Tamandua tetradactyla: one gene and its partners. The protein of the gene in region 2 interacts with the protein of the main gene of each other region in a pairwise test. Links are inferred from orthologs where the notes say so. Each region holds a gene or a part of one and is shown on either strand. Other genes may lie near its edges. The genes, in order: IMP3, ZYX, NEBL and VASP.

Region 1 (7,145 bases), on a different chromosome or scaffold from region 2:
ATTCCTAGGTCACAGGGTATATAATACATGTTTTTAAGGTTCTTGATGTTGTAAAATTGTTTTCCTGAGAGGTTGTTCCAATTTATACTCTCCCCAATTGTTTTTTTATATATATAAATAAATATATAATATGTAAGTACATATTATATATATATATATATATATATATATATATATATATATATATATATTTGGTTTTTTAGGCTTCTTTGGTGTAATTCCCTGTGTATTTCCTTTGTGACCTGGGGTGGGGTGGGACGGGGCGAGAGAGCTACTACATGCCAGAAACTCTTCTAAATCATTGTAGGAATTAACTAATTTAATCCTCCCTATAATTTTTAAGTTCTGTACTATTACTACCCCCATTTTTCTGGTGAGAAAAAGAAGTACAGAGAGGTTAAGTATAACAACTTATGTTACACAGCTAGTTAAACAGCAAATTAAGTCAGGATTCAGCCCAGGTAGTCTGGCTTCAGAGCCTGTCCTCTAAGTCATGTCTGTCCTGCCTTGAATAAGATATTCTTAAATCCAAAGTTTCTGGTTGCTGGTTCTGGTAAGTCATTTCTTTCACACCCTTCCCAAAAAGGAGAAGGAAAAAAGATGCTTCTAAAGAAACTTGCATTTTATTTTTAAGGTCCTATACCCAGTTTCCTTCAAGAGAACTTTGAAGTTGTATCTGCTTGAGCCAAAGGTGTGGCCTCTTACTACTCCAACGGGGCGGAACGACCTGCCCTGTGGAGTCTAATGAGAGCGGGGCTAGCAGGGGGCCTAACATCTAGAGCCATCTTACCCTCCCTCCCCATGAGATCTCCACTCCTAGGGAGTCCTAAGAACACTCCACCTAATAGGCAGAGTCTGTGCCTACTCACCAGGGCTGAGGAGTGGGATTCCGTCTACTTGCATTCCTAAAAAACACAGGATTTGGACTTGAATCCCAGCCTTGGACAAGTTTTTGGTCCCATATCTATTTCCCAATCTGAAATGTGGGGATAACATCACTTACTTTGCAGAGTTGTTAGGAAGAGTAAATGACAGCCAGGCACAGTCAGGGCCTCAGACTTGGCTCCCTCTCCTAACCTGAGTATTGCCTGCTCCCAGCTCAAATCTTTATACAGCATCCTGGTGGGACCAACCATGTGGCCCAGTTTTTCTTTTCAGAACAGGCATCTCCTCTGTTGGCCCTCAGATTCAGGAACTCTCAACCCTGACAGTCTCCTAAAGAAAGCATATAACCCCAGTAATGTAATTGGATTCCCCACTTCATAGAATTGATGGGAAGATGAAATGAATTAAAACACATAATACATTTAAACCCATGCCTGATATATAGAAGCATCCGCTATTATCATCAAGTGTCACTCTCCATCATTTCTTCATCAAATGCTGCCTCCTACCTGGCAAGTGGAGAAGGCACACTTAAAAGTCAACCCATTGGTCTCAGCATTCTATTTATTCTTTTAGAAGATTTGAGTAAAAGGTTATCTCCCTAATTCTCCCTCTCAATTCTCCACCATTCCTAAGAACATGTAAATTTCCAAGAATCTCCTGGGTCACTTCTAACCACTAGATGGCCAAGCTACAGGATGATTATTTCCTTAGGCAAGCAAAGCACTTCAGTTCTCTAATATGGCATTTCCTGGGGCTGGAATATCAGCATCTAGTCCTGTAAGGAAACAGCTCTGCCAAAACACTCAAAAGGCGTTAGGGATTTGGAAGGGACTGGTAAACTAACAAATTTGCCCACCGCTGCCCAACCTCTGCAACCTCTGCCATGCTGCAGCTGTCGCAGGCCTCACTCACAGCCAAGTTACTACTAATCCCATTCCTCTTCTTTGGGCTCCTGAGCCTGGGATACCCATGGATATGACCTTATAGAAGAAAAGCAGAGAGACAAAAAGCTATACTTACAAACTTGTCCGACCATTTATTGGATTAGGCAAGCATTCCCGTAAAAAAGGGGGACCTGAACATTAAAGTTAACCCATTTTTTAGAAACTTGAGATCAACTCTCCATCATCTGTACACAGCTTAATCAGCAACAGGGGCAAAACTTCGAGTTAAATAAAGTGAACCAAACAGTCCTGCTTTAAGATGATAAAAGGAAAGATGGGGAAAAGTTCTTGCCTTCACACTACAATGTGTAATTTCTCGGGCACAAGAAGCTAATAATTTCTCAGTGCAGCACACAAAATTGCTTCCGATTGTGTCCTAAGGCACAGTCATTTAATCCTCAGTAGTTCACGTTCTTAGGAAAATATCCTGGTAAACAGGAGTGCACCACTGTGCGTGGCCTGCGACCGTGGAGTCAAGTTCTTTAACAGTGAGAAGAACGGACAAACAACGGATCAGACGCTTTAGCCGAGAGTGCCCTTACAGGATCTCCAGTACCAGCAGTCCTCAGCGTTCCCATCTACTAAAACGCGGCCATGGAGAGAAGAGTCCCCCTACGCTTCCAGATCGAAATCATCGCGCTCCTCGTTGTACTCCAATACGTGCCGCTTGATCTTGGACGAGTCAACCCAAGTGACGAAATCCTCCATGCTGCGCGTGACAAGGAAGGCCGGGTCGGTGACCACGTCGGGGCCCACGCGCACGTGTCCCTGTTCCACGAAAGCCACGGCGGCCTGGAGGTGTTGCGCCATGCGCAGCTTGAGGAGCACGGTGGGGAGGCGGCGGCGGCAGAATGACGAAGCCGTGACAAAGTCACAGAGCTCCAGCGAGCCGCGCGTGGGTATCAGGCCCAGTGCATAAAGCTTGTCCAGGAGCGCTGCTGAGGCGCGCACGCGGAAAGGGTCGCGCTCGGACAAGTCGCGCAGGCGCCGCGCTAGCTCGCGCACGGCACGGCTCAGCTGGTTGTAGCGCGTGTACTCCTCGCGCCGCTGCAGTCGATAACGCCGCAGCACGCGCAGCTCGTGCAGGTTGTGGTCGGTAACCTCCCAGTTGAGGAAGTCCACCTGCTTCAGCAGCTTCTGCTCGTGGAACTTTAGCTTCCGCACCATGATGGCAGCAACCAAAGCAGCGAAACCACCCACTGGGCCGACTTTCCCACACGCACGCGATTTCCGCCTGAGGTGGTGACGCCCTGAAGCGCGCTCGGAAACCCAGGCCGCCCTCGGAATCCCCGGCCAATGAAAGAAGGACTCAAAGCCACGCCCTCTATCGCCATTGGTTGGAATGTGTTCACGCCTCCGCATCTATATCTCGCGGGTTTTTTTGTTCTTCTCGTTGACAGAGTGGGAAGTAGCACTAGGGGCGGTCCCCGGGCTTCTAAGTATCCAAGAGTGCAGCCTGTAGTATTGGGCTGATTTCCACCCATTCTGATTTCAGCTCTTCCGGGACCCTCGGGAGAAATCTTCCCCGATAGAGCTGAAGAGGCCAATTCCGGGGAAGAGGGGTGACCGCCGGGCATGTGTGATTGAGTTCACTGTGCTTACTGACCATTGTTTTCTCCCACCCTGTGGGGGGCTTCCTGGAGCCGGCCTGCCCAGGGACAGGCCGATATCCCCCGCCGCCCGCCTGAGTCAGGCCCTTCTTCACTGGGGGGCGGGGTTGTTTCTCCCTCCCGAGTAGGTCTGGGCGGCACCGGACCTATGACTTATTCCTGTATGTTTAACGAGAGTCCCATGTGGTTCTTACAACCCAGTTAAGTTTGAAAAACTTGGGATGTGAGTTCAAATCCTAATCCTTTAGTCTGAGCTCAACCTATTTAGCCTGACGGCGGATTTCCGGCCACTGAGTATTGAGTTAACAAATTTAAAGCTATTTCTATTAGTTAAATTTGTAGTTGCATCTGAGTGTTGCGTTGCCAGGCTCGTTCCTTTGTTTGCCTGCGCGTTTGATGCCTCCTAGCTTCTCCGCCGTTCACTTTGTTTTATTTTGTATGCTTTTTATTATTAAAAAAAAATAATTTCATATGCAGATGGAACGTATGTAGGTTATAAAATATAAGGAATGAATACTCATGAACTCAACAGCCAGTTTAAGAAAAATAACATCACCAGGATTGTTTCATCTACTTAGTCCAGCCCCTGCTAAACCCCAGAGATAAAAGTACTTACTCCCCTGAATCTTGTGTTTATTACCTTTTGTTTTTTAAAAAATAGTTTTATCACTATACACGCATCCCTGAAATATACTGTAGAACTTCTTACTCAAAGTATAGCCCGTGGACCAGCGGAGAGCTCGCTGGAAATGTAGACAGTCAGGTCTCATTCTTGACCTACAGAATCAATCTGCATTTTAACAAGACCCCCAGAATGCACCCAGTAGTTGGAAGAGTGCTGCATAGCAAATATACTGTATGCAGTTACATGCAGCTCTAGTTGCTTTGTTTTTTTCCTGCTTCATAATATTCCATTGTTTGACCCTCTAGTTCAGTTAATCCATTTCCTGTTGGACTTTTTGGAGAGAATATTTTTAGCAGTGGTGCTGTTAACAGTTTTGTACTTGTCTCCTGTTGCACGTTTGCAAGAGTTTTGAGTATACATCTTAGAATTGGTTAGCTTTAAAGTATGTGTATGCTCAACCTTACTACATATTGCTGAATTGTCTTCCAAGGGGGTTGTATCAATTTATAGTCCTCTGACAATGTGTGAGAGTTCTCTTTGCTCCTCGTTCTTGCCAATGCTTGGATGTCATTTTTTAAAATTTTTGCCAATCTGGGGAGTATGTGATGGCATTTTATTATAATTTTAATTTGCATTTCTCTGATAACTAAAGATTTCATGTGTTTCCTCCTTTGTGAAAGGCCTGTTCATATCTTCTGTCTATTTTCCCATTGGAGTGTGTGTAATCCCCCCCCCCAGCCCCGAAAATGACCCATCCTAATCCCTATAACCTGTGAAAATATTACCTTACATGACAAAAGGAATTTTGCAGGTGTGATTAAGGATTTTAAGATTGGGAGATTATCTTGGATTATCTGGGTGGTGGGCCCTATATAATTATAGGGTCCTTATAAATGAAAAAAGGGAGAGGCAGGAGAGTCAGAGGAGATGTGACAATGGATGCAGAGGCCAGAGTGATGTGATTGTTGGCTTTGAATAAGAAAGGGGACCAAGGGCTAAGGAATGTGGGCAGCCTCTAGAAGTTGAAAAGGGCAAGGAAATGGATTTTCAATAAGAGGCTCCAGGGGGAGCATATTCCTGCTGATACCTTCATTTTAGCCCCGTGAAACCCATTTGGGACTTCTGATCTCCAGAAGTATAAGATAATAAATTTGTGTTGTTTTAAGCCACTAAGTATGTGATGATTCATATAGCAGCAATAAGACACTACTACAGATTGCTTGCTATTTTCAAATTGATTTGAAGGTGTTTTTCAAAAATATATACTGAATATTAATCCTTAATCAGTTCAGTATGTTGCAAACATCTTCTCCCTGTGTGCGCTCTCTCCCCACCCCTCACATTGCACCAGTCTCATTTTCTTCCATGCTCACCATTCCTGCAGCATGGTTAACTTCTTGGTTAACTTTCTTCTTTCCCAGCTTCTCCAGTTTAGTTTAAACTGAGGTTCAGGTCTGTGGCTTCACCATGTGTAGTTCACAACTCTCCAATCTGTAAATCCAGGTCAGATGTCTCCTGAGCTTTAGATCTATATTTTCAACCATGTTGTCCACTTCCTAACAACCAGAACTTGCAGTAAGGTTCAATGAATTATCTCATTTAGTACTCACAGTTTTCTACAAGATATTGTCTCCATTTTACCGGAGAGGAAACTGAGGGATAGAGGAGTTAATAATTTGCCAAGGGTCACAGAGCTGATAAGTGCCATGAGTGCCTGATTCCAGACCATGAAATCTTAACTGTTTTTCTATACCTGAATTTCCTACAGGCACCTAAACTCCACATGTGCAAAAGTGAAATCATTTTTATTTATTTTTGGAGCCAGAAGCATCAGTCATTAATTTATTCAACAAACATTTATTGATCATCTTATTATGGAATAGGTTTTGCTCTAAGTGCTTGGGATTCATCATGAACAAAACAGACAAAAAACCCTGCCTCATGGAGTTTATATTCCAGTGAAGGGATGGAGACAGACAATAAACAATACACAGGTAATTATGATAATCTGATATGAAGCAAAATTGAACAGGATGTAAGAAATAATGAGGATGTAGGGTGGGGATGGGCTGTAAATTTAATTAAGATATAGCAGGGGTAGGTCTTATTGAGAAGGTTATATTTTTAAAGTAGCTATATGGATGTCTAGGGGAAGGGCATTTCAGGAAGAAGCAACAGTGAGTGCAAATCCTCAAGGCAGGAATGTGCCTGATATGTCAGAAGAGCAGAAAAGTCATTTTGTCTAAACCAGGGTGGGCAAGGAGGAGAGGAAGAAGTTAAAAGGCAATCAGATAACACAGAGGCTTATAGGCCCTTATAAGTACTTTTATGTTGAGTGAGATGGGGTCACTGCAGGATTTTGAGCAGAAGGTTGACATAATGTGATTTATTTTTTAAAAGGATCACTCCAAGGGCTGCATTGAGAGTAGACTGTAGGCAGGGATGGGTGGAACCAGACTGACCGTTAGGATGCTGTTGCAGTGATCCAGGCCAGAAAGATGGTGTTTTGGACCAGGAGAGCAGCAGAGAGATATTGAGAAAAGAAGAGTCAAGGAAGACTCCAGGTTTTTGGCCTGAGCAACTGGAAGAATGTATTTGCCATCTCCTGAGATAGTGAGGGCTGCAAATAGAAAAGATTTGGGGACAGGATCAGAAAGTCAGTTTTGGACATGATGGATTAGAGATGTCTATTAGACATTCAAAAGGAGATATGAAGGAGAAAGATATATGACTTTGGAGTTTTAGAGAAAGGTCTGAACTGGAGATAAAAAACACTTGGGCATAAGTAGCATATAGATGATACTTGAAGCCATGAGCCTGTATGAAACCATCAGAGGAGTTAGTTTAGAGAGGACAAGAAGATCACTGTACTGTGGTCACCCTAATATTCAGAATTATCAGAGAGAAGACCAGGAACCAGTAAGGTAGAAGGAAAATCAGGAGGGTGTGGTGTCCTCAGTGCAAAGGAAGAGAGTGTATCCAGGCGGAAGACGTCATCAACCAGGTCAGAGGCTGCTGAGAGGCTGAGTAAGATACAGAGAATCTTAGAGAATCCATGCATGAGAAAAGACCACTGGG
Region 2 (7,301 bases):
CTATAAACCTACTCAAAATCATAACTTTTCAGTCCTCACAAGATCCCAGGAGTGCTATTCAATTTCTTCTACCTTCTAGCTCCCACCTACCTCTCTAAGTATAGCTCTATAATTTTTCCAAAGGAACCTTCTGTTTTCTAGTCTCTAAGCACCCCTTGAGTATGCATGCTCTTGAATTTCACTATTCCCATCCAAATGCTCTTCCCTCTCCTTTCCAGGTTTCTAAGTCATAGCCATTTTTCTGGATACACCATCTCCACAGTTGATTCCCTATTCTGAGCCCCTGTCACACAGCCCTGTAACAGGAATCTCATCAGCACTCAGCATTTCTCCTTATATGAGTAAATACAGACATTCACTAACTCTACAATTGGTTAGACTATACCAGGGTCTTTTCAACTCTGAAGCTCTAGTTTCCTAAACCAGATTGTAAGATTTAAGAAGACAAGAGCAATGTTATGTAACTACAGCTTTCATATTTTGGCATGTATGCATTAGTCACAGAACCTAACACTTTCCATGCATTAGCTCACTTGATCTTTACAACTATAGTATAAGATAGACAACATTGTTCTAAAGGTGGGCAAACTGAGGTATAAAATTCACCTAATTTGTCCAGAGTCTCATAGCTTGTGGGTTTCCAAGCTAGAATTCCATCCCAGGGCCATCTGACTCCGGCACTCTTAACCTCTTTGAGAAATCTCTTCCCATGTCCTATACTCCTGAGCACAGAGCACAGTATCTGGCACCCAACAATGCTGGCTCAGCCTGTGTTTACTGATGCTGCTACTCTTATCATCAGATGGGCCCTTCGGTGGTAAGAGTTGGAGAGATTAACTCAATATGGGGGAAGAAACAAGGTTTGCCTGGTGATCTCATCCCTCCCCTCTTACATTCTGGAGCAGAGGTCCAAAGGAAAGTCCACCAAATGTTCTTATTAATTTAGAGCCTGTGCTGCTCTCACTGTTCCCAGTCAGTCCCCACCCAAACCAGACATGCTAGCCTGTTCTTCCAGAAGTGCTTTCTTTTATGGTAGTCCCGCTAGTCTAACCAAGAGGATGAAAATTGCTATCCCCTCACCGCTACCTCCCTCCAACTCTCTTGAGTCACCTTCATTCTCTGGATCCAGACTTAACCCTGACCTCAGCCCCCTGGACTCAGTCTAGTCCTGCAGTCCTTCCTCACCTGGTTTTGAGCTGGTGAGGGCATTGGGTGCTGCTTCTCCTGTACTCGAGGCTTCTCCCTCTGTTGAGCATATGTGAAACTGGGGGGTTGAGGGGAGCCTGTGGCAGCAGAAGTAGGAGCTTCAGGGGACCCCAGCTTCTGATTGGGCTGTGACCCAGGTCCACCTGGGGCTCCAGGGCTGAACTTTGAGGCCACAGGAGTAAACTTGGGAGTCACGGGAGAAAACTTAGGGGTTGGAGCTGAAGATGATGATGCCGGGGCACTTCGGGGCTGTGTATTAGCCAAAGACACAGGCTGAGGCTGGGACTGGACATGGAACTGGACCTGAGGCTTGGCCTGGGGCTGGATATGGAACTGTGTCTGGCTCTGAGGCAGGGCCTGAGCCTGAGGTTGAGGTTGGGAGTTAGAAGGGACTTGCTTCCAAGGAGGTAAGGGTGCTGTGCCCCCAGTTACGGGCTTAGTACTGGACTTGGAAATTAATGGGGTGGCAACGGGTGGGGGTACATATCCAGAAGACACCTGCAAGGGGAGACAGAGAAGAAAGAAGTACAGTTAGAGAAGAATGCCACCCTTAGTCTTATCCCCATGCCTCTTCTCATATGGGCCCTGCTTCTCCTAGCCTCTCCTCTTGACCCTCACCCGGGCTTTGAAGGGATCATTTCTGGTCATGTCGTCCAGCAACGAGGAGAGAGAGTCGATCTCCAGGTCAATACTGCTCACCTTCTCCCTGGGCTAGAGAGTCAGAAGTCAGAGAGCCCATCCCAGTCCTCCATTCCCACCCCACTTCCAACAGAGGTGATAAGGAAGAAAGGACACTCCCCTCTTCCCAGGGAGTGTCCCAGGCCTTTCCATACCTGTGGTGGGAGGGGTAAGGGGGCCTCAGTTCCTCCCTCCTCCTCCAAAGGAGGCGGCGGGGAAGGGAAGATCTCCTCTTCCAGGGGCGCAGGGGGAAACGGGTCTTCAATCGGTGGAGGGGGGGGTGGGAAGGCGCCTCCCAGAGCACCTTCCGTGTCGTCACCCTCCCCAAGGGGGGGAGGAGGAGGTAAAGGAAAATCTGGGATAGGAGTGAAAGAAAGGGCTGTCAGTTCCTTCTCCCCAGTTGCCCTGTTTTACAGCTCCAATCTGCAACCCAAAAACTCTCTCAGGGGTCCCCGGGAGTGTGGGGTCGGCTCTGGGAGCACCGGGCCAGCTACGGCAGGGGCACTGCAAAGGAGTGGAGCAGCTCCCGTTACACTTCGGAAAACGGACCCAGAAGGGAAGGTCGGTGCCCCACATTCCCGTCTCCCACCCCCGGGCAGGGGACTTGGAACGGTCCCAGGAGCCTTGGCTCCCAGCCATAAGCTCCGCGATGAGGTAAGAACATCTGCTCGGGACAGGGTAGCTGCGCCCAGCCCCCTCTGCAGCAACCTTTCCAGACACCCCCGAACTCCCGAAAACATTGCCCCCACTCCGTGCGGGCGGGGGTCCAGCTCTCAAGCCCATCGGCTTACCTTCCGGGGGCGGAAGGGGGATCTCGCCCACCCGGCCCATTTGTGCACGCTGAGCCCCAGTCGCCGAGGCGAGCTCGCTGTCCCCAGGCCGGAAAGGATTCACTTTGGGCTTTGGAGCCACCACTGGGGCGAACTTCTTCTGAGGAGCGTAAAATGCCGGAGCCGAGACCGAGACAGAGACAGAGATCGCAGGAGGCGGACGGGGGGCCGCCATGGCAAGGCCGGGCTGCTGGGGGTGGGTCGCCAGGTTACGCAGCGCGGAAGCGCGCTGAGGACTCCCTTGTGGTCCGAGCTCCTCTCGGGGACTCTCCCACCCGCCTAACCCGGCGCCCAGCTACCCTCTCCCAGTAGGCAGCCGCGGGGCGGCTCCCCGCGTCTCACCGCGGGCCGGAGCGTGCGCGCGGGTCCCGGGCGGCCGCCTCCGCGCTGAGTCCGCTGTGTCTGCGTCCCGGTCAGGAGCCGCCTCCAGCCAAGCGGGGAGGGACGCAGGGAAGAGGGAGGGAGGGAGGGGGCGGGAAGAGAGCGGCACCGAGACCATACAAGGAGCGGCCCGGAGAGGGGGCGGGGAGTGCGGGGAAGGCGGACGAGGCAGGAAACTCCCCCAGGAAGGGGCCCTGATCCTGCCGGGGGCCGAAGGCTCGGCGAAGGTCCTCCCGCCCCCGCCGCCCCGGCCGGGCGCAGACCACCCCTCCCCAAACACAGGCCTCTGATGTCATTTCCTGACCTGCCCCCACCCCCAGCCTGACCCGCGGGCGCCGGAGATCTGACTCACGGTCCCCATTGCGGTCTGAGCCGGCGGAGGCCGGACGGGGTGACCCAGAGGTCCCCAATTGGCTCCAACTGTACCTCTATCCCGGCGCGTCCCCGTTCCTCTCTGGGCCTACTGTTACCTGTCCACGCCACCCTCCGCTGCTCCTCCCCCACCCCCATCCCCCGCCCCGAGCCTCGGGCGCCCAGCCCCAAAACCCCTCAGGCAGCCGGGATTGTTAGGACTGCGGTGGAACTTGGCTCAAGTGGACGCGGATGGTGAGGGGGAATCTCTCCCTCTCTATGCCCACCTAGGCCCTTCGGTGACCTGGATGTGTGTGAGCACGAACCTCGAGGGCTTATTGGAGGATACTAACTTCAAACCTTGGGCAGCCTCTTAAGTCTTCTAGGAATTTGCATCACCCGCGCCCCTGCCTGCGGATCTGATAAAACAGGGAGAGTTCGTGCCTGGCCCGGTGATGAATGGAAGCGGAAGGGCGGGGCGGGGACGGGGGCAGTGAGGACCGACGTGGACGCGGGCGACACGTCTTCCACAGTTCTTTGGCGCCCACCGCGACCCACCCCGCAAGGAGCGTATCAGCGAACGTGGGGTCTGCCGGGATGCCGGGACCGCGCTCCGTAGAGCCTCCGGCTCGTGGGACCCGGTTCCTCAGTCTCCGACTCTGCTCCAGGCCACCCGAAGAAGACAAAACCTGGATTTTTTTTTTAATTGTATACGGAAATTTACATAAACATTTCTTGAATCCTTCCACACTCACTGCCTGCATATGGAGACGTCGTCTTTCACTCTTTCCCCCAATATACCATCCCAAAGGCGCTTCCTTTTGTCCTGTCAGTCTTCACAGCCATCTAAGGTTTTTTCACACCAACTTAGTAGGCCCAGTCCCTGACCCTCCAAATCAGCTAACGTCATGAGCTTCTGAGCTATGCTTTAGAGATAATCAGACTCACCTTTTAAAAATGTGGATGAGAAATATGAGACTGAGAGGTTAAGTAATGGGTCCACCTGATCTTTGATAAAGATTGTATAACTATATAGCAAAAATAATAATAATAATAATAATTGCCCCTTTTGTATACATCTAATTCTGGATGATTGGTTCTGTTCCACTGATGTCTGACAGTACTGCACTGTCTTAGTTAACCTATCTCTATTATAAGTCTTAAAATTGGGTAGAGTGCAATATTAGTGGTCAATAAAGGAGGGGATTTTCTTTATTATTTTCATTTGTTTTTCTAAAAATTATCCTGGTCATGAATGCACAACTAAATGAAGTGTCTGTGAACCACTGATGGTGTACTTTGGATGGATTGTATAGTGTGTGAATATATCTCAATAAAATTACATTTTAAAAAAACAGAGAGAAATCGACCTAGGTTGGCACCCAGTTAGAAACAGGGTCTAGACTAGTACTGAATATCTTGACACATCTCATGTCAGAGCTCATTCCCCTACACTCTAATGCCTCCCACTTTCATGATCATTCTGCATTCTTCATGCCAGTAAGCTGTGATGGTTACAAGGGAGTCAGTTTGAGTACCCAAACTAATATAGTTTCTTAATACTCTGCTTCTTTTTCTTCATATGTAAAAGATTGATGATATTTAATGCATTATATGAAGGAATAAATGAAATACATATCTAAAAGTGCTATATAATATTCAGTATTATCATTTCAAGTTTCAGTTCTGCCCAAGATGGAAATTCTGACCCAGTTCCCCGTATATACCTTTCTCTGTTCCCAAGCAAATCTCTCATGAGCCTTGGTATATGAAATGCCCTCTCCTTATCCTTTATTTTACTTAAGACTCCATCTTCATTGCCTTCATAGCCCGCATGACCTCTCTTTTTTCTCAGCTGACTTGTACTTGTTACCAGTATTTCTCACATCCACAAGCATGTGTAGCCATGTATAACATGCAGTGCACACCTCTTTGACACATACAAGCTAATTAATCCTGGGTCTGTCCCTGTGCAAGTTGGAAACTGTATCTTGAGCTTCAGGGACCAGAAATCTCACCACTAGTCCTTCAAATTATCCCTACTTGAAAAAAAAAAAGTTAGATGGTTTCCAGATAGGTTTATAAAAGTAAAAGCCATCTATCCTCTGTCTTTAAGGAATGTGCGTGTGGAAAATATAGCATGTTTAATTGTTAGGCAGCTGAACCTATTTATAAATCAAGAATAGAAGAGCGCGTAGGCAGGTTTAGTTTTACTGACAACAAAGAGCATTCAGGATGCAGAATATTAAAGCTTAAGAGTTTTAAACCAGCCATTCTAAATACAAGTAGAAGCACACAGAGTGTTCCAGAAGGACAGAATCACTGCCCTAGTAGCCCAGGATGGCTCAGGGGGGCTGCAGGGTCAATGCTATTAAAATGCAGACAATGTACAAGAGCAGCCCTAACTATCCTTAGGCATTGTGCTGGTTTAAAATTATTATTAATTTTTAAAAAGCCATGTTTTCTTTATCTGATTCAGTGTTGTAGGGTGGGACCTCTTGACTAGGTTGTTTCAATGGAGATGTGGCCTTTTGATTAGATTGAGATGTGACTCCATCCATTCAAGGTGGGTCTTGATTAGTTTACTGGTGTCTGTTAAAAGTGGAAACATTTTGGAGTTGCTTCAGAGCCCACACAGAGATGTTTAGAGATGCAGAAAGAAAATGCCCCTGGGAAGCCGTTTGAAACTAGAAGCGAAAGGACTAGCAGATGCCAGTCACATGCCTTCCAAGCTCTCAGAGGTGTTCTGGGACTCATCAGCTTTTTTTTAGTCAAGGTATGTTTCTCTGAATGCCTCAATTTGGACATTTTTATGACATTAAAACTGTAATGTTTTACATAAAACTGTAAACTTTTAACTTAATAAATCCCCTTTATAAAACCCAACCCATTTCTGGTTGCATTCTGGCAGCATTAACAAACTAAAAGTCTTTTTCTTAAGTAAATGATTATAACTGATTTCCTCAAGTAGTAGGTGTAAAATGATGCAATAAGTAGATGATATCATATAAGGCATGCCCAACAGTTTAGGGACAGGCAAGGGAGAGGAAGTAAGAAAATGAGCACTGGCTTTTTTTTTTTTTAGTGTATAACATGTAGGCTAATACGGGTGTAAATGGAATGATAAAGAATTTAGTCCAGAAGCAGTCAAGAATGAAGAGAAAAAGGAGTGTAAAATAGGTGGAACAGATAAAAATAGTTAAGATTTTAGACCTAACTAAAAAATATCAGTAATCACATAAAATGCAAATAGACTAGTGCAGTTATAAGACTTCCCATGCTCAATTAAAAAATAAGGCCCAACTATACGCTGATATAGGGAAAACATCTAAGTCATAAGGATATGTAAAGATTGAAAAAGAGACATAAAGTGTGATTTAAAACAGGGGCCGGAAAGTCCTCATGGAAAAGGTGGCATTTGAACCGAGACTTGAAAGAGGTAAGGCAGTTAGCCATGTGGCTATTGGAGGTAAAAGCATTCTAGACAGGAAGAAAAGCCTTTGCAAAGATCCTAAAATGGAAGAGTGTCTGGATTATCTGGCATGGTAAGAAAGCAACTGTGGCTGGAGCAGCACCAGTAATAGCAACCAAGAAGAAGATGTGGTCAGAGACATAAGGGAGGGCTGGGGACCAAAGCATGTAGTACCTTAGAGACTACTTGACATTTTTGTACAGTTTTGAACCTGTGAAAGCACTGGCTTGTGCTACTTAAAATATCCCTACCAGCCTCCAAGGATTTTATCCACTAGGTACCAGAAAGTTTTTTTCAAAGGCACACAACATAAAGAAATTAGAAGCAGTCAAGGAGGAAAAAAAAGTAGTGACAGAATGAATTCACAAGTGAAAAGAGGAAAC
Region 3 (7,848 bases), about 43 Mb from region 2:
GGGGCCTCAGATTCCCCAGCTCTCAACAGTGGTCCGCAGACCCCATGGCATGGGCGCACTGTGGGCAGAAGACATACGGAGGGGAGCACCGCTCCTAGAGTGGGGAGGACGTGGCGGACACAGGGCTGTGGCCCATCTCCAGTGATCAAGCTCATCTCCAAGCCCAAGTCTGGGGCGCACCAGCCGAGCGTCTGGACAAGCAGGACTGTGAGGCTGCTTCCGGAAGCTTCCAGATGCCACACTCTAGAAAGGAGGGAAACCACAACCCAATTCATGCAAAAAAACAGACAAAAACCAAAAGTGACTTCCAACCCCAGAAAGGCTCAGGCAAACAGACGGACGGTATTTGGGGACACGGTGGATTACCAAACAAGCCCTCACTTGAAGGTGTGCTGAGCTTTCAGTTTGGGCCAGGGAAGGAGAGGCGCACAGTTTCAACGCGGGGCCCTGGGAGGGGCGTCACGCAGGCCTGGCTGAGCGCAGTGGGTCTCCCTCGGGTTTCACTCCACGATGAACATAGCACCAAGTACACACTTCTGACAACCATTCAGCCGAGAGGACAACATTCTGGACAACATAAGAACTCAATGTCTAAGTCCCCCTGCTCCATATAAACAATGATGATACTGAGACCAAATAAGGAACTTACTATTTAGTAACACTGTTTAACCAGTCTTTTAAAAAACCAACATTTTATTTAGTTCAAGTCCTTCCAGAAAGGATAAATGAAAATGCATCTTTAAATGATTGTACTTACACCCGATATACTCACTCCTTTTTTCATTTTTTTAACAAAGAAGAATTTTTAGACTGTGCACAGATAAATATAAAATTCTAAAAATTAAAGCAGTGCCTTCTTCACAAGGACAGAATTCTATTTTGAGACAGAAAGTACAAATGAAAACTGATATAAATTGATTCACAACAGTCATGCGCTAAATGTTTGATATTTGTGTATCCAAATATTTAAATATAAAATATTTAAACATACATTCTGCCACACCGAGCTGTAAGTAGAAAGCACTGCCGTGTGTGTGATTTCATCCACATGAGAGGGACTTCAGCTTTTACAAAATGGTAAGGTCAGAGCCTTTCACTGCAGGGCTGATTTTAAAGTCACTGATAAACTATGTTACCCAAAATAACTCCCACAAAATCACCTCCTAACTGAAGCTGTCACTTTAGTTTTAGGCATGACAACCCTACTGTACCTGTCTGTGGAGAGTTTGGGCATTTAAGGTTTTCAAGGTGACACTAGTGTCCTTAATACTAGCACAATACAGCAAGCAGCCTCAGCTGCGGGGGCTGGGGGTCGGGGTCTGCTCCCCACTGCTGAACTGCGTGACCCCTCAGAGCCTCCCTCCCTCACCTCCGAAAGGGGATTTAACACACCCTTCTCCCCAGGCCCCAGCACCCTGGAAGTCTCAGTTATTGCATCATCATGGCGGTCTCCTCATTCTTGTTACAGTATACGGCGAATGCTCACGATCGACACATTGGGACTAACTGACAGCACAAAGAAACAGTTTAAAATGTCACTACAACCGCGCGAAGGATAGAAGGATATGGGAACGGTGCTGAGACCCCTCCCCCCACTGTTTCTGACAACCTAGGGGCACCGCAGGGCCACAGCCACACTCAGGAAGCCCCCCCAGGGCGCGTGCACTGCGCGCTTGGGGTCCCCAGCCTGGAAGGCACGGCCGCGTGGTTCTTACTCTCACGGGGTTCCAGGTGAGGCCCTGAGCCCGGGAGGCCACGGGACCCCACCCCATCCCCACCCAAGATTACAACCAGGTCCACCCAGGCAGGCCGGTGCAGCCATCCCCCCACCCCGCCCGTTACCCATGGGCTGCCAGGTAACGGGAGTAAATGAGGCTGGGGGTGCCTTACACCCACCGTTTTAAAGAGGGTGACCTAAACCCTCGCCCTCGGCAAGCACACCTGTCTGTGAGCTTCTGCAATTCTCATCTATGTATTTACTGTAACTATATCTGCGTTAAATAATGCTATAATTCTGTGGTTCCCTTGAAACATAATATAAACTGATCCCAGTTACTTTAAAAATCGTTACAAAAAATGCTGCTTTTTTACTAAAGTCACTGTCATCTGTTCCAGGGCTCTCAGCCTGCAGTGTGGGAACCCCTGGATCCTAAGTTGTAAATAAACGTTGCGCATATAGGCATACGCGTTTTTCTGGTTAGGGGAACCACTGCATTCATCATTAGATTCTTCAAAGGCCCCCAAAACGTTTTTAAAAATCACTAATTTAGATAGAGATCCTCCCAAAACATATTACATCATTATACACATATTTTTTTTTAATCTTTGGGTTCGCACAGGGAATATGCTCTGAAATTCAATGCTTTATGATTTCATGCCAGAGGGACAGTGAAATCCACAACAGACAGGATTCTGGCCAGGGAATGAGGAGACCTGCTCCCGCAGGGGGTCTTGGGGAAGTCATTTGAAATTTCTGGACTTAGTTCCATAGCTGGTAAATAACAGAGAATTTCAAGAGTTTCTCCCAGCCCCAGGATTCCATGCATCCTAGTGCCTCACACACAACGCAAAATACGACAGAAATCACTGGAGCCACTCACATCACTGTTCAGTTTGGTGCATTTTCTGGCCAATTCCATGCGTAGGTCTTCAATTACAGGCTTCCAGAACACCTGTCAATAGAGAGAGAGAGAGAGAGAGAGAGAGAGAGAGAGAGAGAGAGAGAGAGAGAGAGAGAGAGAGAGAGAGAGGCAAGTAAAGGAAACCTGTTCATCTTTGGCTTTGAGAGAGCCACGCAAAGACCTCTCAGCAGGCATCCCCTCACTCACCATGTCATCTTCGTTCTCCTCCCCCCCTGCGTTTTCTTCTTCAGTTCCATCTTTTAAATCCTCACATACCGGGACCTTCATAGTGACCCTTTTAAAACCTACGTATTTGTTAAATTCACTCGTGCTTGCCTTTTCGTGGCCGGTGGGCTTTGCAGCCTTGTGCTCTGGTGTCCTGGTACAAATGACCTTGCCCAGGCCTCACCCCGCTTTAGCTCACACTTCACCTCCTTATCTCAACTCCGCGCCAGTGGCCGGGACGAGAGGCCTCCACCCGCCAGGCCAGCCCCATGAGCAGACAAAATGGAGTGCTGTGACGTATAAAGCCAGCATTCTTTAAATTGGCTAAGAAACCCAAAGGGGAAAATGGATGCACGTCTCACTAATGCACGAAACATTCATAAAATAGTGTGAAAAGGACACAAAGCTTATGGGAACACTGCCGAGCTGGGACACTGGAGCTCTCGCAGTGGAACACAGGGTTATCTCAAAGACCCTCAAAACGCCACCTAAATAAAGCTTTTGCTGGAATGTCAGACAAAGCTCTGTTCTGGTGCGCTGGATCCGAACTTCTGAAACTCATTTCACTGCCCGGCATTAAAACGTGAATGAGACACGCATGTACTTCCCACATTCTGAAAACACCCACGTCATATCAGCTGATAATATTATTTTCATAATTTACTGTAAGCCCTCCGAACCAGTTCTAAAAATAAAAAATCTATCCTGAGTTAACTGTGACAGTTAATCTTATATTAGTTTGTTTTACATCATTTTAATTGCAAACCTCATTACACATAAGAAACTGCAGGTAACATATGTTTTTTATATCATTTAAGGATTCTAGAAATGTCACCATCTCAAACCTGCTCATGTGTCAATTTTTCTTAATTCTCTAGTTATTTATGTATTCCAATGTGTACCACACTTGGAAATATAAACATCAACTATAACAATATCTATAATGTATCATCAACCATATAATAAAAAAATTTCTCAGAACAAACTCCAAGTCTCCACACAGCTCATAACTTGTACATTCAGTTATTTAATCCTAGGGTAAATTAAGGTTTGCAAAACTACAGCATATCCTGCTGAACATTAAAAAATGCCCTATAGTGAATAATGAAACCAATTATATAAAATACAACATTATTCAAAATAATACATCAGCAAAATAGCCAAGCACAGTGGTGCTTTCTCTTGCTATTAAATCCAGATATCAAGTTACTAAAAAATATTTTCCTTGATCTTGCCTAAACTGAAAATTCTGGCAAAAAAAAATCTACACAATCATTATTTACAGATTATTTCTCAGATTGTATTCCATGGGCAAAAGTTCCAGAAAATACTCTGTGAAAAAACAGGGGTTCTATCAACAATCTTTGGAGACCTATACACTAAATCTTTACTGAGACCACTTTGAGCTCCACACCACATTAGAAGCTCTGAGAAGACTCAAGACCAAGAAACCGATGTGGTTTTACTTACCTCCACATTTCCCAAACGTGAAATCCTTTGATTTTTTTTTTTTTTAACATTCTCTCTATGCTAACGACATGGAATGCTCTGGAACTGCTTTTGGTCTTTTCATGATACTGGTTTTGATACTGGCTCATCTAATAGCATCACAGATCCTACTGACCAGCAAAACATCAAAAGAGAAACTGCCAGAAAGTCTTGAAGTTGGAGAACTTCACTTGGAAAGAACAGGTGTGTCACATCTGCCCAGCACAGCGACTGCAACCAGGAGCTTCTCTGTCCCACAAAGCAGCAGGTGGGGTGAATTCTGACTGTCCCCTCAAGAACTCTGCCAGATGATTATTCTAATATCCTATTGAACACCCGTGCTATTACTGCTTCTGGACAATAGGAAATAGACATTGTACAAGCTTTTCTTGCAACCTCTAGAGGGATAAGGAGAAAATCTCGCCAACGCTGCCTAGGACACAGCCTTGGCTCGTGTTGGAGAGGAGATGCTTGTGCGGCTCAGGGAAAGATCTCAGCCCCATAACGCATTACCTTCCTCAGGTTCATCCACGGTTCTTTTCGGATTCCCCATCATGTTCTTATGGTCTCTCCATCTCTGCTGGAAGAACATAACCTGTTGAGATTTAATGCAGAAAAGTCTTGAAAGCAAAATCAAATGCCAACATGTAATGTGAAAGCAATTTTAAATAAGTCTATTTGAGATTTTAGAATCACAATTCAACACCAGAGGGATCCCTAAGAAATCATTCCACCTTGAGTTCTCTCTTTGCAGAGCAGAAAATTAAGGTCCACAGAAATGGTCTGTAAGTCTCACTTGCAAAAGTTGTTCAACTGAGTGCTGGGAGCAGAACCTAACTTGCTCATTCTTTCAACAATGTTGTGTTGTCAGGCCCTGAGCTCAGTACTGGGAGGCAAGGGGGAGACACTCAAACTTTCCACCCAGAGAAGGTAGGAAATAAAAGAGCCGTCATTGAAGATGGCTGGATAAACTCCTTCTGGGCTGTTTGGCAAGCTGGAGACGCCGTTACTTTTGACTAAATGCACCTTCCTTCCTTCCACCTACAAGTAACATACAAAATCCACATAAAGTTTCCTCCAAAAAAATAGGTCAAGTGTTTTTTCACAGCAAATCGCTCTTATTAATAGCTCCAAAATATGACTTGGGGAATAAGAAGAAATTAGCTTTGAAGGAGCGCCATCATGTTTCAAAATTCCCTATCACCTTTTTGTTTTTTCAAAACCAAGATCAATGTTGCAATTTTGTAACCAAGAAGTTAGGATTTAAGGGATGATTATGATTATCAAATCATTTTATAGATATTCCTTTTTACTTTCTGGTATATTAGAGTAGACAAAGGAAAATACCTGAAATCTCTGAACTTCAACCCAGCTGCCTTGACCTCTGATAATGAAAGTTTAGCCTTTATCTTGTGCCCTTGTGATTATAAAAACCTTATGAATGACTCTCACTTGTACCCATTTTATCCAGTTTTTTTTACTTTGGAGTCTTGTGATCACTAAAGACAGCCCCAGAAGTTTATTAATAAAGGGCCTTGGGTCTGCCCAGAACTAACCCACCCAATACCAAAGTTACCTTGAGAACAAAGACCGGATCTAACCAAAGTGGGCCTGGCATGCGCAGGAGTTCAGACTTTAACCTACAAGTCACCTGACCTCATTATAATAAAATCATGCCCACCACACATGAAGGCCTTTTTCCCACAGACTTTCTGTGATGAAGCGTGTGATCAATCTGCACATCCTCAGTAGTTAGATCACCTCTAATTACACTACATGATGTCTGATCCTAAACCCTGCCCATCTTTCAATTCTACAAAACTATCCGAGTTACTGGGTTGGAGGAGAGAGGTCTTCGGGCTCACTGACCATCTGAGCTCCTGCTTCGTGCCCAGCAGTAAACTCTCTTTGAAACGCCGGCGTCTCAGGAATGGGTCATTTGAGTGCGTCCGGTGGGGGGCGGGGGGGAGAATGTACCACCTCTGCCAGGTATTAATCTGATACATATTTTCACCTTGGAGCACCCCAAAAAAGATCACCCATGTAGCACCTACTACCTTTTTCTTAATGAGGATTTCAAGCATTCTGTCTACTTTTTACCTTCGTGCTCCACCCCAGCTCTGACCTGGAATGACAGGGAGATGGGGCTCCATTCCTGTGGCCTCGGGATAAATGATTTAATCCCCTCGGTCCCCAGTTCTGCACAGTTAAACAGAAAACAGAACTGCTGTCAGTCAATAAAAGAAAACCCCTTTGAGAAGAGTAAAGACCCTTACAAAGACAAGAGTTTTCAACTACCCCATAAGGACACAGAGTTCCAGAGAAGCCCTTGAGGGGAAAGGGGAAGGGTCTTCTCATTTAAAAGGGAGACAGGGACCATCAACGTCTCTTCAAAGGCACGGGAGGCTTCCTACAACCAGACAGCACAGAAATAACAGGCAGCTGAAGACTTAGAACACAGGGCTCTTGTATTTTTTTATAGCAAGGCGTTGTTTTGTAAGGAAATACATTTCCATAGCAACTGCAGAACCGTGGGTAGTTCAGGTTTCTGGAGACCCCACACCTGGCCCAGGAAACTCATCCATCCCACAACCAGGGGCAAACGAGCACCTGACTGTCTTCCTTCAGCTTTTTTCTTAAGGTCACAGGCTACAAGATTCTCCCAGCTCCTGATAAAGACCGCGGACTTCACTCACTTCCGTGTGTTCCCTGTTCCCCTCACAGTGTGGGACACGTGCTTTTCCCAGCACAGTGAGGTCCGCCTTGGAAAGGAGAGCCCTAACGGAGGCGGCAGCAGCTCGGGATTCAGCATGGGGCTGAGGAAAACTTACAGGAATAAAACTGGTTTTTTTTCTTTTCCATTTAAAAATTAATTCAACATTTCTTAGTACAAAATATTCACCCTAGATAGTCAGCTGGGAGAGAAATTAGTCATCTGACCTCTTTTCCTGCTTTGATGGTCTTTCACACACTCAGTTTTAGCAGCCTTTTTTAAAAATGTAAGATTATGCTCCAGAAGGCTGGTGCTTCTCAGGCTATTTATCCTCCCACTTTGGCATCTGCCCCAAAGAGAGCTTTTACTAACGGATGGGAGAGGGAGACTGTCCTTAAGAAAAGAAACAGCAAGCATTCTAGGGCAATTTATTTCCTTTTTAAAAGAGAAGATTTCTGCCTGATATTAGATCAATCTATTTTTGCAATCTACATTCATTAAGCATACCTTCTCTTTTTAATAGCTATGTCATTACTGTTTGTTAATTAGAAATCAAAAGAATACAAAGTAACCCAATTAATCACCAATTATGCTGTTAAAATAAGATTTAATAGAGTGCTTTTCAGTATTTATATTCCTATTTTTCCCAACCAGAAACCCAATTCAAAAATGAGAACTTCCTATTTAAACTGCCATTGGAGGAGGAGGAGGAGAAGAAAAGAAACAGCAGCTAATTTTTAGCACAGCAGTTTCCAGGCTGGGAGTGTCTGGGGTGCGAAAATGAAGAGTCTGCACTCCTCC
Region 4 (7,320 bases), on a different chromosome or scaffold from region 2:
ATGGCCCTCAGTTTCCCACAAGTGAACAGGAAGGTAAAGTTTCCTGCCCATTTCTTTTTATTTATCTGTATTATCTTAAGTGTTCCTATAGTGAAAGTGGGTTATTTGTACTTAATAAATAAAGGTTTTATTTTCCCCTTTCTTTAATAACATGATAGTTGGGAGACAGACAGCCCTGGATTCAAACTCTGCTTGGCCACTTCCAAACAGTTTAACTTCCACAGGCAATTTGCTTAGCTTCTCAGTTTCTCAGTTTTCCCATCTATAAACTGGGGTGAGAGGGTCGTAAAAGTGCCAAGCTCTTAGGACTTTTGTGAGGATTAAGAAGAATCAGGCACCTAGTACAGTACCTAGCACAAAGCAGATGTGTGATCAAAGGCCCTTCTTTTTAATTCATAAAAATAATAATAATTACCACTATTGGAAAAGGAACAAAATGAATGCGATTTCTTCCTGAGTTCCTTCCACCCCAGATGCTCAGAACTCTGTTCCCCCTTTCTGGCCCTCCCAGAATCCCAGCTCAGAGTACGGTACACAGCAGACATTCGACAAATATTTGTCAAACTGGGAGAAAAAGCAATTTATCTTGTAATTTTCCATTTTAACATCCTCCCTTCCAGCTGCCCCCACAAGTGAACCCAGGCAAACAACCCAGAAATCTGAGGAATGGACCCCAGCACCCCACCCCACCCACCGCCCCACCCCTACCAATTGCCTAGGATTTGCAGAGTGACCTTGAGCCAGGCCTGTCTCTCTGTGCCTCAGTTTCCCCAGCTGGGGTTAGGGACCTGGGTCTGGAATCCCAGCTGTACCTGCAGAAGAGGTACAGCCCAAGAAGGTGGATTTAGTGGCCTGCAGAGGAGACCCCTCAGGAAGTAGGAGTGACCCTCTTCAACTTCGGCCTGCCACTCCACCCCACCCCCAGCAGGCGAGAGGTTTGGCCACAGCCCCAGCAGGAGGGGGCCCCTTTGGGAGGGCCAGGGGTGGGGTGGGGGGGGCAGAGGCCCGGCCCGGGCGCTGCTGCTGCTGCTCCTGCCCTTTTACGGTCTCGCAGCGAGTGAGGCAGCACTAACTCGGACATCCGCCATCCGCCTTCCTCGGTGCCTGGGACCGGAAACGCGCGGGTGGGGGTGGGGCTGGGGGCAGTGGGAGAGGGGAGTCCCGGGGGAAGAGGGTGAAGAGAGCCTAGCTACTGCACACCGTACCCTTCCCCCCATCCTGGGCAGACCTAGAGGGGACATGGATGTCACTGGGGGTGGGGGGTGGGGAAGGATAGGCAGGAAGCCTTGAGGGTGTCAATGGGTGCCCCCCCTGGCTCCAAACCATCCCTTTCCCATCAGAAGGCTCAAACCGGAGGGGGCGGCCCTAATGGTCATAAACAGGAATGCCACCCCGATGTCAGAGGGCAGGAGTGTGGGGGAAATGGGAGTGTGTGGGCACCCGGGGGTTAATCCCCAGCTGTCCCCAGGGGCCTCCCCCTCAGGCTGGGGGCTTTGGGGCAGGAAGTCTCTGAGAGCTTGGAGGAAGGGAGATAGTATTGTCAGGCTGCAGCCCCAAGGGAATTAGGATGGGGGGCCGGGGGCAGGGGGGGAGGTGGAGAGTATGGTGGGCTAGTCTGGGCAGCCCGCCCCAGTTCCCGGCGTCAGGTGAGTTCAGGACTTTTTTTGGGGGGGTGGGGGCTGGTAAAACAAAATCTCTGGATCCCTTGGGCCACCCCCATCCCAGGATTAAATTCCTAAGAAGACAGCTGGAACTATCTGGCAAGCCTGGGTCCCAGGGGGAGAGGGCTATGACCTTGAAGCTTTCTTGCACCCCCCCACCAACCTCATAGCTCCCGAGAGCCTGGCAGGAGGAGGGTTACGGGTGACGAGGGAGGGGTCGGGGTGGGGAAAGCAGCCGGCCCAGGGCGCTTCTAGCCCGCCCCCCACACCAGCTGTCTCGACAGGTGAGTCAGGAAGACAAAGGCCCCCGTCCCCCAGCTGCCGCGACGCCCCTCCTTCCCCAGAGCCGCGCAGGTGGGGGAGAGGGACCGCCCTTCTGGCCCCAAGCCCGGGAGCCGCCCTCGGCGCTCGCTCCGTCTAGGGCACGGAACGATTCTGGACCGAGAGGGACGGGAAAGGGGAGTCCCAACCAGACCCTCGAGGCTGCATCCGGGTCCGTCCATCCGCACCAACCTCCTCTCCACAGGAGGTTCTGAATGTCCTCCCGCCCCGCCCCCCCAAAATGCAAGGGATTAAGAAGTACCCTGAAGTTAGGGAGCGCGTTTCCACTTGGGGAGACTTTTTCCAGCACCAAGTAAAGAGGAACCCCAGTAACCGGGCTCTATGTCTTAGCCTCTCTTCCGAGACCCCGGATCCCCCAACCCAGCCCCCCACAATCCCTCCCAGACTTCAAGTTGAGGTTCGGGGGAGACTCTACGCCCTGCCTAAATTCTGGGTATCCGTGCAGGGAGAATCTGCCAACTTGGAGATCCCGGGAGGAAATCTAAAATTCGGAGAGCCCCCAAATCTGAGTGCTCCTAAGAGAGAACCTCACCGGCACCACACCGAGTCTTGGAAGTCATGGGGAACTGACCATAACTTGGAGCTCGTCCAAAGGGGTTCGGCTCCAAATCTGAGGCTCCCAGTGCCGGGTCCCCAAATTGCATCCCGGAGAGAGCTGGGGGAGGGGGGACAAAGGCGGGGCGGGGAGCCCGCGCAGGGCGGGGAAGGTCGGAGGCAGTTCACTGCTCACCTCATGGCTGCTCGGCTGGCGGGTGGCGCGCCCACCGGCTGGGGACTCCCGGGGCGCCCCTGGCTGGAGGTTCAGGGGTTCGGGGCTGGCTCCACGTTCTGCTCAGTCTCCCCCAGGGTCCCGCCCCATAGAGTCCGGCTTCCTGGGGGGAACGTGGACCGGGATGGGGCGGGTCCTCGGGCGCCTCCTTCCCTTGGGGGTTTGATGGGGGTCCCTGAAGCAGAAAGCGGGTGCGGCGTGCCCTCCCCGGCGCGCCCCCCGGGCGGGCAGCGGCTACAACGTTACTCTTACTACTGTACTTCTCTTCGCTACATTTCGTTCCAAAATTCCACTCCCCGCACCCACAATGCCCCGCGCCTTAAAGGGGCCGCGGCCACCGCGAGGCGGAGAGGGGAGGGGTGGAGGGCGCTTAAAAGGGCAACGTAGACCCTCCACTTCCGCTATTTCCCTCTGCCCCGAAGTTATTGCACAGGGATGCACTCTGGGGGTCACCCCCAAATTGGGGTGATGCTAGGTGGAGGGAAAGGGTCCTTCCTTGTTCCGTAGTTCTCCCCCAGGATAGGACTTCTTAGGGGGATCTAAATGGGGGCACGATTTCTTCCTTCTCACCCTCCCCCCATCGATCTCCCCATTTCTTTATCTTAGGCTCAATTTTGGGGGTGGGGGAGAAGGAAGCAGAACCCTCTGTTAAGGAAAATGTGACTTCCTCACATTTTCGTCCTGAAACGCCACCTTAGGACCCTCAGCATCTCTTGTCTTCACTGCCAAGCTATAAGGGGTTACTGAGGGGTGCCCCCCGATCCCCGCGCAGGAAGGGGACGGGTGGGCAGGGCCCCGCCCCTCTCACCGCCCCCCGCCCGCCTCGCCCGCGGGAGGAAGATGAGGAGGAAGTGGGCCGAGGGGGCGCGGCCGGTCGCTGACTCACAGCCGCAGGGTCGGGGGTGGGGGTAGAGTTGAGTGGTTGGCGAGGCGGGCGGGGGTGGGGTGGGGGCCGACGCCGGCCCTGGCTCGGGCTGGGACTCCGGCCTTTGGCCCTTTCCACAGGTACACCCCGCCCTGATTCAGTTTCGCTCGCAGAGGACAGACGGATCATCCCAGCAGCCGGGAGAGCCCAGAGGTCGGGAGATCCTCCCGGGTGCCGGTTCCTGAGACCTCCCTCTCCAATGCGCCGGCCCCGGGCTGAGCTCAAACACAGTCCTAGGCTTCCGCAGCGGGTCCCGCAGGCCCCGCCCCGAGTGACGTCACCGATGTGACCACACCCTCCAAAGAGCGCCCCCTGGCCCGCGTGAAGTGCCTTAGCCGGAGGGCTGGCGTCTGGCAAATCGGGAGTTCGACCTTAACAAACGGGTAAACTGAGGCCCGGAGGAAGGGACAAATTTGGATTATGGCCCGCTTGCAAAAGCCGAGGTGTGATTGTGAAACCAAAATTCTCGTGGCCCAACAGAGCAGGTGAGGAAATCAACCTTCCCAGCCCTTGTCCAAGCTAGGCTAGGATGCAGTCGGGTCCGTCACCTAGGGGCTCACCCTTCTAGACCAAGCTATTACTTTGATTCTTCTCTGGGGAATCGAGTAACCTCGTCCCCTCCTCCAGCTGCCCTGGGGACCTTGAGCCCTGAAGCACCTAGATTGTAATTGTGTGTAACTGTGTTTCCTGGGGCTGTGAGTTCTTTGGGGGCAGGGGTAGACTTGATCGACTTCTGGGCCTCACCCAGCCCAGCAAGGTCTGAGCTGGGGCAAACAAACATTTATCCAACTGAATGAGAACCCCAGTTCTGTGTGACTTTGGCAAGTCTTTTCTCTGGGTCTCAACTTTTCCATCTGTGAAATGGGAAGGGTGGCACTTCTGGGGTCAGCCAACTTTTTCTATAAAGGTCTAATATAGTAAATATTTGAGCTTTGTGGTTCACATGAGATCTCTTTTGCATATTATTATTATTTTTCAAACAACTGTGTAGAAATATAAAAAGCATTCTTAGCTCAAGTGTCATACAAAATGGGGAGCAAGACTCCTGCACTGGAGAAATCTTTGCTTATAAACACAAGGAGCCTGATCTTTGTGGCAGCAATGCTCTTAGGGCAAGGAATTGGAAATAGCCTAAATGTCCAGCAACAGGAAGAGAGATAGCTAAACCATTGCACATCTTCTCTGAAGCACTGTACAGCCGCTAAAAGAATGCGTGCAATAACATGGAAAAAGTCTCCAACATATTGTCAAGTGGGAAAAGTAAGTTGCCAAGTGATACAGTCTGAAACCAAGCAAGGAAACACCAAAGGTATCATATATTTGCTAGAGTACATGTACATATGTTTACAGGCAGAATGAAAAACCTGGAAAAGTTCACTCCTGACTCATGACTGTAGTTTACCCTTGGAAATACGGATGGGATTATGGGGTCCTTGGTAGTCACAGAGATCCCAAACCTTATCTCCAAAATGCCAGCCTCTGCATTGGCTGTTACCTGAACCTTGGAATACCATTCCCTGGGCTGTTCGCATATCTGGCTCCTTTTCCATCAGACTTCTCACACTATGCCATTTTGCACCTTCTGAATTTCAAACTAAGTGAATGTATTACCCATTGAGGAAATAGATGAATACCAATTTAAACAACCAAAGTAGCTCCCCTAGCCTTTTTATCACACCACCTTGTTTTATTTTCCCCATGACACTCATCAGTGTCTGAGATGACCTTATTTATTTGGCACGCCTGTTTGCTGTCCCACCTCCCCCTCCCCCCCAGGAGGTCCCCAGGAGTAGGGCTCGGTGGATCTACCTTCTTCATGGTGTGAGCAAGGACTCACAAATATGTATGGCCAATGCATATTTGCCAAGTGACTGCGTAAATGATGTTTGTTTTCTACAAGAAAAAAAATGCATTTTGAATTGCCTCTGTAATTAAAATTTAATAATAAAGAAAAAAAAAAACTGCCCTTCTACCCTCCCCTCAAAACCACAGGAAGAATGGGAAGGAAAGGGAAGGTTATTGAACTGACTTTTCATTGATGGGGAACTAGGAGAGAGGGAAATAAGCATTCTGGGGTTCTTCCATCAGCCTGTCTCTCTTCCGTTGGTCCATGTAGCTGGGGAAGGGAGCGGTTTTCTTCCTTAGTTCCGTTGAGGCCCCAGCTGGGTGGAGAGTCTCCAAAGGATGACAGCTGTCAGGCCTCCAGACCCAAGGCAGAGCCTGATGGGTGCTGGTCGGCTCCCCAGCCCTGCTCTGTCCCAGCTGTAACACAAAATGTGGGAGACAGTGAATAGGAACCCTTTCCTGCCTTCTCAGCCTCCACTTGCCTGTCTTCTGGAAGCAGCACCCTCTTTTCCTTTGAAGGGCCACCCTTTCCCATCTCTCAATCAATCAGGTTTGGGTGGAGAGGACCCCAATCCCCAGTGCTAGGTTGGGCACGTGACACAGTAAGAGGCATAGTAACCAGTCATGCATGTGGCCCAGTTTGGTCAATGAGAACCAGCTCTGGGAGGATTGCTAGAACTTCTGGGAAACAGGCCCACTCTCTCCACCACGAGTGTAAGCTGGTGGGATGTGCTGCAGCTCTCTACTACCTCAGAACAGAGAGCTAAGAGATGGGTCCCTGATGAGATCATCTGAGAAATGGCTCCAGCCACCTTAAGTTCCTGAGCTTTCCAGTTTTGTGTGTGACCCAGTAAATTTCCTGTTTGCTTTACCCTGGTTGCCTTGGGTTTCTATCATTCACAAATCAAACAATCGTGACCAATACCATCCTTGGCTACTGAAAACCCATCAACAATCCCCCTTTGTCTGAAGAACAAAAAACCAGATGCCCTCCCCCAATCATGCAAAGTCCTCTGGGATGTGATTTCCAGCTTCCCCCCCTTTCATTTCCTCCCTGATGCCCCACACACCCCACCGTGCCACCTCTCCTCTAGCCATTGGAGACCTGGGTCATCCATCCTCAGGATGTCATCTTGATAGTCTCTGCAGGGCACCCCAGGCCTTGGGGTCCTTGTTACCATTTCCAGAATTTATCTTATTCCTAGGGGATAAGACATTCCAGGGGGCTGTGCCTGGGATGATGGGGCTTTACAGAGCATTTCCAGGAGGTGTATTTTTTGGAAGGGAAGTTCTTTCTCTTCTGTAGCCCATTGTTATGCCACTTTGAGGCAAAGTGCTTCCGGGTCAGGGGTAGGAATTTACTAATAGAGCAGGCAAGTTGCTTTTCCTCTGTGGCCTCACTTTCCCCATCTCTAAAGGGGAGAGAGGGACTAAGAGAAACATTCAAGAACACAGGGGCCTTACCTCCCAGCACTCTTCTGAGTGACAGATCTGAGCATATGCTTCAGCGATCACAGTGGCCCTGGGGAGCAGGGGGAGGCCCTCAGGAGGGGACCCTCCACCTACTACCCCTCCCCCAAACCCCTCCCCAACCCACCTCCACTCACTTACAGTCCAGCCCTCCCCCTGGGGGGTAAATCCAGGATGTCCTCCGAGGCCAGAGTCCTGAAAATCGTGTTCAGGCTGGGGGTCTCCTGGGCAAGGGTGCACAGCTCTGAGAGGGAGATGAGAGTAATGGGGGAACCCCTGTTTGCCGACCTTCCCTCCCATTGGGCTCC

The links.
Region 1: the proteins of ZYX (region 2) and IMP3 interact in binary tests that used the Homo sapiens proteins (3 or more experiments, as listed by UniProt). The link is inferred for Tamandua tetradactyla from reciprocal best matches to the Homo sapiens genes ZYX and IMP3.
Region 3: the proteins of ZYX (region 2) and NEBL interact in a two-hybrid assay, tested with the Homo sapiens proteins (2 studies listed by BioGRID and IntAct). The link is inferred for Tamandua tetradactyla from reciprocal best matches to the Homo sapiens genes ZYX and NEBL.
Region 4: the proteins of ZYX (region 2) and VASP interact in binary tests that used the Homo sapiens proteins (3 or more experiments, as listed by UniProt). The link is inferred for Tamandua tetradactyla from reciprocal best matches to the Homo sapiens genes ZYX and VASP.

The regions. Positions count from the first base shown.
Region 1 is NC_135338.1:66,331,582-66,338,726, reverse strand, and holds IMP3 (U3 small nucleolar ribonucleoprotein IMP3), read right to left. Parts: upstream 3,129-7,145; 5' UTR 3,000-3,128; coding exon 2,445-2,999; 3' UTR 227-2,444; downstream 1-226. UniProt on the Homo sapiens protein: Component of the 60-80S U3 small nucleolar ribonucleoprotein (U3 snoRNP). Required for the early cleavages during pre-18S ribosomal RNA processing. Part of the small subunit (SSU) processome, first precursor of the small eukaryotic ribosomal subunit.
Region 2 is NC_135327.1:186,997,670-187,004,970, reverse strand, and holds the start of ZYX (zyxin), read right to left. Parts: upstream 3,091-7,301; 5' UTR 2,890-3,090; coding exon 2,676-2,889; intron 2,240-2,675; coding exon 2,040-2,239; intron 1,918-2,039; coding exon 1,825-1,917; intron 1,705-1,824; coding exon 1,186-1,704; intron 1-1,185. UniProt on the Homo sapiens protein: Adhesion plaque protein. Binds alpha-actinin and the CRP protein. Important for targeting TES and ENA/VASP family members to focal adhesions and for the formation of actin-rich structures.
Region 3 is NC_135327.1:229,742,605-229,750,452, reverse strand, and holds the start of NEBL (nebulette), read right to left. Parts: upstream 3,119-7,848; 5' UTR 2,910-3,118; coding exon 2,829-2,909; intron 2,673-2,828; coding exon 2,601-2,672; intron 1-2,600. UniProt on the Homo sapiens protein: Binds to actin and plays an important role in the assembly of the Z-disk. May functionally link sarcomeric actin to the desmin intermediate filaments in the heart muscle sarcomeres.
Region 4 is NC_135342.1:15,509,887-15,517,206, forward strand, and holds the start of VASP (vasodilator-stimulated phosphoprotein), read right to left. Parts: upstream 3,089-7,320; 5' UTR 2,739-3,088; coding exon 2,734-2,738; intron 966-2,733; exon of another isoform or gene 813-965; intron 1-812. UniProt on the Homo sapiens protein: Ena/VASP proteins are actin-associated proteins involved in a range of processes dependent on cytoskeleton remodeling and cell polarity such as axon guidance, lamellipodial and filopodial dynamics, platelet activation and cell migration.